2 linked regions of the Rattus norvegicus genome follow. Each later gene encodes a partner of the first gene's protein in a complex. Links are inferred from orthologs where the notes say so. Each region holds a gene or a part of one and is shown on either strand. Other genes may lie near its edges. The genes, in order: Flt1 and Vegfb.

The links.
Region 2: the proteins of Flt1 (region 1) and Vegfb are in contact, whole or in part, in a crystal structure (PDB 2XAC), measured with the Homo sapiens proteins. The link is inferred for Rattus norvegicus from reciprocal best matches to the Homo sapiens genes FLT1 and VEGFB. Residues at the interface, in NP_002010.2 of Homo sapiens: Tyr139, Glu141, Pro143, Phe172, Pro173, Tyr199, Ile202, Gly203, Leu204, Asn219, Leu221, Arg224, Thr226; in NP_003368.1 of Homo sapiens: Ser37, Trp38, Ile39, Tyr42, Thr43, Thr46, Cys47, Gln48, Pro83, Asp84, Asp85, Gly86, Leu87, Cys124, Arg125, Pro126.

The regions. Positions count from the first base shown.
Region 1 is NC_086030.1:12,331,990-12,336,323, reverse strand, and holds the start of Flt1 (vascular endothelial growth factor receptor 1 isoform 1 precursor), read right to left. Parts: upstream 2,895-4,334; 5' UTR 2,660-2,894; coding exon 2,596-2,659; intron 1-2,595. UniProt on the Homo sapiens protein: Tyrosine-protein kinase that acts as a cell-surface receptor for VEGFA, VEGFB and PGF, and plays an essential role in the development of embryonic vasculature, the regulation of angiogenesis, cell survival, cell migration, macrophage function, chemotaxis, and cancer cell invasion.
Region 2 is NC_086019.1:213,604,287-213,608,621, forward strand, and holds the start of Vegfb (vascular endothelial growth factor B precursor), read right to left. Parts: upstream 2,867-4,335; 5' UTR 2,612-2,866; coding exon 2,552-2,611; intron 2,021-2,551; coding exon 1,978-2,020; intron 1,692-1,977; coding exon 1,495-1,691; intron 1,303-1,494; coding exon 1,229-1,302; intron 860-1,228; coding exon 824-859; intron 618-823; coding exon of another isoform or gene 517-617; coding exon 382-516; intron 230-381; coding exon 214-229; 3' UTR 1-213. Other genes in the region: Dnajc4 (dnaJ homolog subfamily C member 4), read right to left, coding at 3,199-3,307, 3,387-3,473, 4,329-4,335. UniProt on the Homo sapiens protein: Growth factor for endothelial cells. VEGF-B167 binds heparin and neuropilin-1 whereas the binding to neuropilin-1 of VEGF-B186 is regulated by proteolysis.

The sequences.
Region 1 (4,334 bases):
GTGGCCCACACCTTTCATCCCAGCACTGGGAGGGCAGAGGCTAGCCTGGTCTACAGAGTAAGTTCCAGGAGAGCCAGGGCTACACAGAGAAACTCTTGCATAGAGGGGGGAAAAAATCAACTATATTTTTTAATTTTGCCAATTTTTAAAAGAAAAAAAATGCCAGTTGGGGAATCATTTGAAAAGAAACTATATAGCCTATTAAAGACTTTTCAACCAGGAAAAAAATTAATGCTGCACTAAAAAGATTTTTTTTCAAAGAAACCCTAGTTCACAGTTTATCTGCAAGATGACTGATCAGTTGGAAAGCAACATGAACCATAAGAGTCCCATTTAAAATATGCCATTTTGGGAAAAGCACAGCTCTGTAAGTCTTGGAGAAAAAAAATAGAAACCACTATGTAAAACTATGTATGAGAAATGCATTCTATTCAATTTTGAAATAGGTATTATTATTATTATTATTATTATTATTATTATTATTATTAATTTATCGAGAAAGGGACTCCCTTTAGAGCCAATGTCTCTGGTTAGAACTCACCATCCCTCTGCCTTAGGTCTTGAGTTCTTGGAATATGGATGTAGCCCTCACACCTGGCTGTTAATATTTGCATAATTTTTATTTTAACTCAGAGTTACCATACACACACCCCAATCCCAAAATTTAAGTATTTCTAACTAGTTCTACCAAACTCCAAATGTTAGCTGCTTAAAGAAAAGTAAGGGAGGGGGAGAGGGAAGGATAAAGGGGTGAGAAGGGAGAGAGAAGGAGAGAGAGAGAGGTGAGCAAAAGAAGTGCACGCTGGTGTGGTGTTAATCAAGGGTATGGAGTTAAACAAGAGTGTGGTGTCTTAAACCTTGAACAGGAGACTGAACTTTTTAAGAGACAGTGGTCTCCATAGCTACAAAGAGGACCCGAAAGTATTGTAGTTCGTAACTAATAAAGAGGCTCTAACACCCGATGGGGCTCAGCGCCTGGCTAGCCGGTGCAAAGCGACTCCGTACGTTACCCGTTACCCGTACCGTTTCTGTACTGCTTCAATCTGCCTCTGCTGGTCTCAACCCCATATAAAATTACGCTTAGCTAAAACCAACCACGCTTTAAAGTTTAAAAGTAAAGACACGTGTGCGAAGCAGAAAATCCAATGAGACATGGGTTTTCCCCCTCTATAACTTGGGGGTTTGCAGTAATTTTTAAGCTAGCTTTTGCCTTTATATAGTAAACTAGTATTTAAACTCTCTAAGCGATTATATTTCGAATAAGCAGCTCTTCAAAAACATTTGAGAAATAGAAAATACAAGAACTCGTTTAATATCATTGTTCTAGAACCTAGCCAGCCCATGTCGAGTTCTGGCTTTACCATTTCAATCCATTTTAATTATAAACCCCTGCTCATTACTTTGAAAGGAAGTGCAGTCTTCTCATTCCTAAAGGCTCGTTCTTACTGCCTTTAAAATCCGTGTTGCCTTTCTTTCTGGGGCCATTACAATCCTGACTCTTTCTTCTCTACCTTTTTTCCCCAACCACGTTGCTTTAAAGAAAGGTGTTCTGGTATCTGGCTCTGCCCAAAGCGACCTCACAGGATCCTTCGCCCCTCGTGCCTGCAGACCTGGAGTTAAGAGTTCCCGAGCTCCATTCAGCTTTTTAACCCTTGGATGACAAAGGTCTCCACATTAAATGCTCTTAAAATCTGCTGGTCCCTGATCCGTCCTCCCCTCCACCTCCCCAGCGCTTTTTACATCCCAGTGAAGGCTGATTTAGGCGATGTGCATACCTCACCTACTCCTTAAACCACAGCTTTCGGTCCAAATTGCCAGGTCCTCCCCCCTTGATTCATAACCTAAAGGTAGGGCTTAAATTTCCAAAACTTGAAGACTGGACCCTAGGCTGCCGGGCGCTTTGAGTCACTCACGCCGACGACCTGGACCGCACACCGGCCCGCACCCGCGGAGGCCCCACCCGAGAGACAGCGCTCAGCGAACTGCGGGGAAGAAACTGTGCCCGCTGTACGTTCCCCAACTTCCTCCGGACGGTCCCAAGCGGGTACGGGAACCAGAGCTGGCCCTTTGCTGGCTCCATCTGCTCGCCGCGGGCACGGGATCCTTCCCAAATTTGACCTCCTTTGCTCTGGTAGAGCGAGATCATCGCTATCGAGCCCTCTTCTGTCCAGCCCCGGGCAGCCTCTCTGACATCTAGCTCGCTCTAGCTAACCCTAGAGGACTCAGCCTCAGCCGGGGAGCGGGCTCTGGATGCAAAAAGGTCCACCAGTGTGGTGATCTGCACTTCCAGAGTCTACGGAGCGAGCGCCTACCCCAGAGCCTGGCAGGGGACAAGCGGCTCCGGGTGCACTCCGCAGATAATCTGGCTCTGACCCCAGCGCGGAGCTAAGGAGAGTCTGAACAGTGATGCCAACTTCCAGCGGCGCCCACTGGGGGAGAGGAAAAAAGATGTGTGTCCCGAGGCGTACCCACTGCTACAAGTGTCCCCGGCTCCCGCCGGAGCTCGCTTGCCCGCTTGTAGTCTCGCTCTCCCGGACCACCCCGTGGCTGCCCAACCCCGCCGAGCTCCAACTCGTGGTCCCCGGCGCGTCTCACCTGTGAGAAGCAGACACCCGAGCAGCGCGCAAGGCAGGACCGCGGTGTCCCAGCAGCTGACCATGGTGAGCGCGACGCGGCCTGCTGGCCCGGTGCCCGCGCTCTCCGAGGCCGACGGAGCAGCCGCCCGAGCCGGTCCCCTCCTGCTCCTGATGGCGCCGCGAGAGCTCTTCTCGCGCCTGCAGCCGAGGTGGTGTGGGGGGCGGAGGGGATCCTCCCAGTCTCGCGTCCGCTAGCCGCTGCGCTTGAGTCCCGGAGCCCGCTCGGAGCTGCTGCCACCACTACCACCACTACCTCCGGGGAGTGTCCGCCACCGCGCTCCGAGCCTCCCGAGGACCTCGCTGAAGCGCAGCCGAGGGCGGGGGCGATTTATAACCTTCCCCAGCCCACTTCCTACCCCGGCACCTCCTTCTAGTGACGTCAAGGGGTCCCCCACCCCTCATCCGCCTCCCCACCTACCCTCTTCTTCCTCCCGGAGGGGCGGGGGCCGGCGAGGGCGGGTGGCCTGGGGGCCGGAGCGCGCGTGCGGTGGCGCTAGGCGCGCGGGTCCCGGGGCAGGTTCGCAGGTTCAGCGTCCTTGCTCGGTGCCCTGCTGCCCCCGCCCCTCCTGCCCATCGCTCTCAGGAAATCCTTGCCCAGCTCCCTCCACCGGGCTTACTCAGCTCTGGTGACCGCCCGAAACTGAGGAGGGGACCGGCGAAGTGCACCGCCCTGCCCCCGGGGCGGGAAGTCTTATCCTAGGGAAGCTGGCCGCGCCCCCGCGACGGTGTCCCTGGCACCGAGGAACGAGGCGCAGTCGAGCCCTCTCCTGAGCGGTCCCGCCGGTCCCTGACCCCGCCAGACTGTTCCCAGACGGCGAAGGAAGGCGCCAGAGACCCTCCGCTTAAGGCACTTGGACCCGGAGCGTCCGAAGGAACCGGACGCCTTGCCAGGCACCTTCGGAAAGAGCGCGGGGCCGCGCGGGTCCCAAGGGAGGGAGTCTGTGTCTTTTTCGGCTGCATTAATGCACCCGCCCAAGCCATTTCCTCAACCCTCTGCTTCCTAGAAGCAAAACAAGGAATAACATGTTACCTTTTTCAAAAGCCAAGGCGTGAGACACGCTCCTGCAACTTGTAAAGGGCCAAGAACTTGAACTCTATGTCTGAAACGCTGGATGGAAAAGAAATCTTTTTGGTGGAAGCCGGCTAGCCAAGATGACTGACTCGAATGTTCTTGGAACAAAAACGGGTGAAATTAACTTGAGACACTAGATCATTTACGATGACACTAATTCCACGTTGTTCCTCAATTATGTATCCATTAACTGGAAGGCTGAAGTCGTCCCGGCCTCCCCGGAGCAGCCCGGTCTTGTCCCTGTAAATACTGCAGGTTTGAAAAATAGCTCATTGCAACCTGCCAGATGCCGGTGATAAAATGGCTCCTAAATGGGACCAGAGGCTTTTCCTGAAGGACTAGACTAAATCTCCGGTAGGGAAGGTTGCGCAACCCGAGTTGCCTCACTGCTAAGAGAGTCTGCGCCACCCCCCCCACCCCCACCCCCACTCCCGCAGCTCTCCTAGGGCAGCGGGAGCCGCTGAGCCAAGGCCAGGGAAATTCTTCTCTCCTTCGTGGTCAGGAGAAAGGAAAGGCCGCTATGAGCCGCAGCTCACCTGCGGACTTCCCCTCCCGGTTCTGCTTTCTCTACAACCCTCCACTAGGGTCAGTGCTCCTGCACTCTGCCTCGAATTGCTCTCCCAATC
Region 2 (4,335 bases), on another chromosome or scaffold:
AGGCTCTCTCTCATACATCTCTGCTCTCTCAGAGCCTACAGAATGGAGCAAATATCTATCGTGTAAAGCCCGTGGAAAAAGTCTTCTTGAGTTCCCCTCCAGGAGATGGTTGATGGCTTAGATTAGATCGTTGTCCCTGTCATAGAGCTTAGCATCTTCTATTGGTGGTGACACCATCTCTCTCACCATCTGATTTGTGCATCTAGTCTTGAGCTAAGTTTCTGATGATCTGGGTGCCAGCAGATGCACAGTAAGTGATTTAACACATGCAGCTGTCTCCTCCTTCCCTGGTCTCTCCACCATTGGCAGGCCCATCTGGACCTGCCCCAGGACGCAGCATTGCTGCCTTCCCACACCAGTGCCACCCCACAGACTCCTCACCTGCAGGTATCTGGGTTGAGCTCTAAGCCCCGCCCTTGGCAATGGAGGAAGCGGCGGCGTCTGCAGCGGCAACGGCAGGTCCGGGGATCAGGGCGCTGACGGCGCTGGGTGCAGCGTGGGCAGAGGGTCCTGGGGCTGGAGTGGGATGGATGATGTCAGCTGGGGAGGATGCTCCCGGGGCAGAGTCCCAGCTCAGAACAGAGCGGGGCTGGGGACGGTGGTGGGGTATGGCAACCCTAGGAGGAGAAGCATCATGTCTGGGGTGGGAAGAGTCTTCCCAGGAGCTAGGGATAGGTCAGAATGTGTGGATTTGGGGAGTATAAAGGGGAAGGGGAGTCAGGAGAGAGGAGAAAGCAGAAGGGCTGCAGTCTCCTGGCTCCTGGCACCCCCAAACCCACCCATAAGCTCTCCTGGACCAGCACCAAGAAATCCAGGAACTCACCTGTCTGGCTTCACAGCACTCTCCTTTCTTTTTGGTCTGAAAAATAAGAGAGAGAGAGAGAGAGAGAGAGACAGAGAGAGAGAGAGAGACAGAGAGAGACAGAGACAGAGAGAGACAGAGACAGAGAGACAGAGAGAGAGAGACAGAGAGAGAGACAGAGACAGAGACAGACAGAGACAGAGAGAGAGAGAGAGAGAGAGAGAGAGAGAGAGAGAGAGAGAGGCAGAGAGAGAGAGAACGCGCGCTTGATTAAAGAAACCTCCTGCTCTCTTGCCCCAGAATCCATGCCTACTTCTGGCTCTGCTCTCAGTCACCTAATCCCTACTAAGTAAGGTACAGTCCCATGCCTGATACCCCCACCCCATGCTACACTTTGTGAACTTAAGGGTTGGACCTGGCTGGCACCTGCATTCACATTGGCTGTGTTCTTCCAGGGACATCTCCCCCAGCTGACTGCTCGGGTACTGGATCATGAGGATCTGTACTCAGGAGAATGGGGAAGAGACAGTGAGTGGTGGGGGGGGCAGCAGAAAGACAGAGAAAGGGGATACTAGATGGGCTAGAGAAGGAATGACCAGAACCTCCCACCTCCTGGGTACCTGTCTCTGGGTTGACCTAGTCCCCAGGACATCACTGTCCCATCAGCCTGCCTGACCCATAGGCCCCAGTACCTGCATTCGGACTTGGTGTTGCCCAATGGGCACACACTCCAGGCCATCGTCAGGACAGCAGCCACCACAGCGCTGCACAGTCACACAGCTGGGCACGAGTTGTTTGACCACATTACCCATGAGTTCCATGCTCAGAGGTACCACCACCTCCCTGGGCTGGCATGTGGCACGTGCATAAACATCTATCCATGACACCACTGTGGGCAGACCCAGATGGATTACGTTCTTATCGGGTTTCTGGCAGCTCCTTTGAGCATGTAGCCTCTCTGATACCCTGTCACCACCACCCCAACCATCCTTTAAACCTCTCTGCCGTGTTTCTCAAGAAATGATTAAGCCCTCTGCCTCAGTTTCTTCCTCTGTGAAATGGCATCTCCCGAAGGAGTTGGAAATCACACAAGGTAAGAGTCATGAAATCAGAACACATGCTAACTAACCCCTCTCAGTACTGGCTTGTGTCAAGTTATTGTTAACTATTATTACCTTTCTTCTGGTGGCTGGGGCCATCAAACTGGGACACAGGGGCCTGTAGGAAAGAAGATACCTGGGCCCAAGATGCACTCTAAAAGGGCTGGCCCTGTGGCTATGTAAGGGCTCTGTCCTTGATTGAGTCAGGCTTCTGTGCCTTTCTGACATCTTTCCAGATTGTTCTGTTCCCAGGACCTCGGCTCCAATTTTTCTTGTACACGCAGCCATCTGGTACTTTCCCTAGTCCAAGACCCACCAGACATACTCTGGGAATGGTGCTAAACCCCAAGCCTTAGAGCTGGGGCTTGTTTTAAGTCAGGAGCCGGGATAGTGGGAGACAAACGAGGTTCGGAGGGCACTGAGGCAGCTCCGCCCTCCAACCGCCCAGAGGATGGGGTGAGGTGGGGGAGTGGCCCCGGGAGCTAGAGCTAGGGCTGCCGGGCCTGCGCCGAGGGGCACCTCTTCAGGGATATTCCCGGTCTGAACAGCGGATCCCCTTGGCAGAAGTAGCGGGCGCCTCCCCACTTCCGCCAACCTTGAGAGGGCACCGCGGGCGGGCGAGCGAGCGGGATGTCTCTAACACACGTACCTGGGTACAGGCCAGCTGCAGCAGCGCAACAAGCAGCAAGCGACGGAGCAGGGGGCTCATGGTGCCCGCGGGGGCCGAGCGCCGGGGGCGACCGCATTGCCCTAGCCCGGCGGCGCGGGGGGCGGCGGCAGCCAGAGTCCCATGGCGCGGGCCCGGGTGTGGGGACCCCGGGCCGGGCGCGGGGGGCGGCTCCTCCGCGGCCCCCTCCCGAGCCCTGGGCGCAGGCAGCGCAACGTAGCGCCTCAGCGGCGGCAGAAGGAACGAGACAGGCAGGCGGCCTGTGTTGGTGGTGGTGGCCGGGACGGCGGGCAGCGGGGACGGCGGGGGTGGCAGGGGGCCTGGCCGGGGCTGGCGGACAAGAGGCTCATGTGACCTAAACACGCGCTCCCCACCCGGCTGCGGGCGGAGGCGGGGCGGGGGCGGAGCCGGTCCCCTCCAAACGCCCCCTCCGGCCGCTGCAGGGGAAAGGGGACACACCGCCCTGGAGGCCGGGCTCCCAGGGTCGCTGCCTCACGAGGGGAGGGATGAGGAGATGAGTGACCTGAAGGACCGAGTCGGATAGGAGTCTGAATATGAGTTTATTGCACGTGTAGTCCTAGACAGGCAGCAAGGGGAGGACCAATACAGGTCCCACCTAGGTAAGCCTCTCACTGGCTTGTGTCCTGGGGCATGATCCTGGAACTTTCTGGAGGCAGAGAGGGTTCTGTTGGAGGCTGCCTCTGCTGGTGCTTCTGCTGAATCCTGGCTCTGTTGGCCCTGGAAGGAAAGACAGATCAGGACAGGGATCCTGGAGGGTGGTGCTGAAGCAGGAGGCAAAGTCAGAGCAGTGACAGACCTGGCCCTGGCCCGAGTGTCATTGTAGATGGCTGTGATGATCCGATCCTTTTCGTCCATGAAGCTGCGATGCACCTGCTCCAGCTTCCTGTGAGGAAACTGCAATTAACCCCGAGTCTCTGAACTCTGGTGTCCCTAAGCCCTGATCTAACCAGGCTCTAGCATATCTCACACAACTTTACATCTCTCCCCCATAACAGACACCTGTGATGAGTTGAAAGAAAGATACAAGTGGCCCAAGTCCCAGAGCTGGGTGGTACCCTAAGTCCTGGGTAGTACCCTAAGTCCCGGGCTATCCTGTGGAGGTTGGTGAAACAGCTCTGAAGTCAGGGAGCAGTTCATCTCCATTGCTAGATGGAGCGGACAGTGGGTTCCATCCTTTGAGTTTCTATGCTGCAGAAAACTGGTATTACAGCATGCATGAAAGTGGCAGCTATCAAGGACTGGCTGTGACACTGTGCTTGGCCTCCCTTCCTCTATCTTCTTTCTTTCTATGTTGAGACACGGTTTAATGTAGCCTAGGCTAGCCTCAAACTTGGTATGTAACCAAGGATGACCCTGAACTTTCTAAAAAACATTGCTGGGAGGCGATGCTTCACACCTTTAATCCCAGCACTTGGGAAGTAAAAACTCATTTATGAAGTGCTAAGAGAGAACCCCAGGGTTTTGACCATGCCCTCTTTGTGTATGGTTTTGGATAGCTCCAGCCCTAACAACAAGCAGCGTCAAAGATTAACATTCAAGCAATGAGAAACAGAAAACAACTTTAGCCCTTGTGTGCAGTTCTGCCTTTACCCAGCAAGGCAAGGCTCCAATTCTTGATTTCACAAAGTTCTTAACTTGAGAGAGACAAACTATGCAGGTCATAGGCTGCTGTGGCTGGCTGGCCACACCACTCTTGACCCACCCTCCACCCAGTACCTCAGGAAGAATGGGGAGGCACCTGAAGG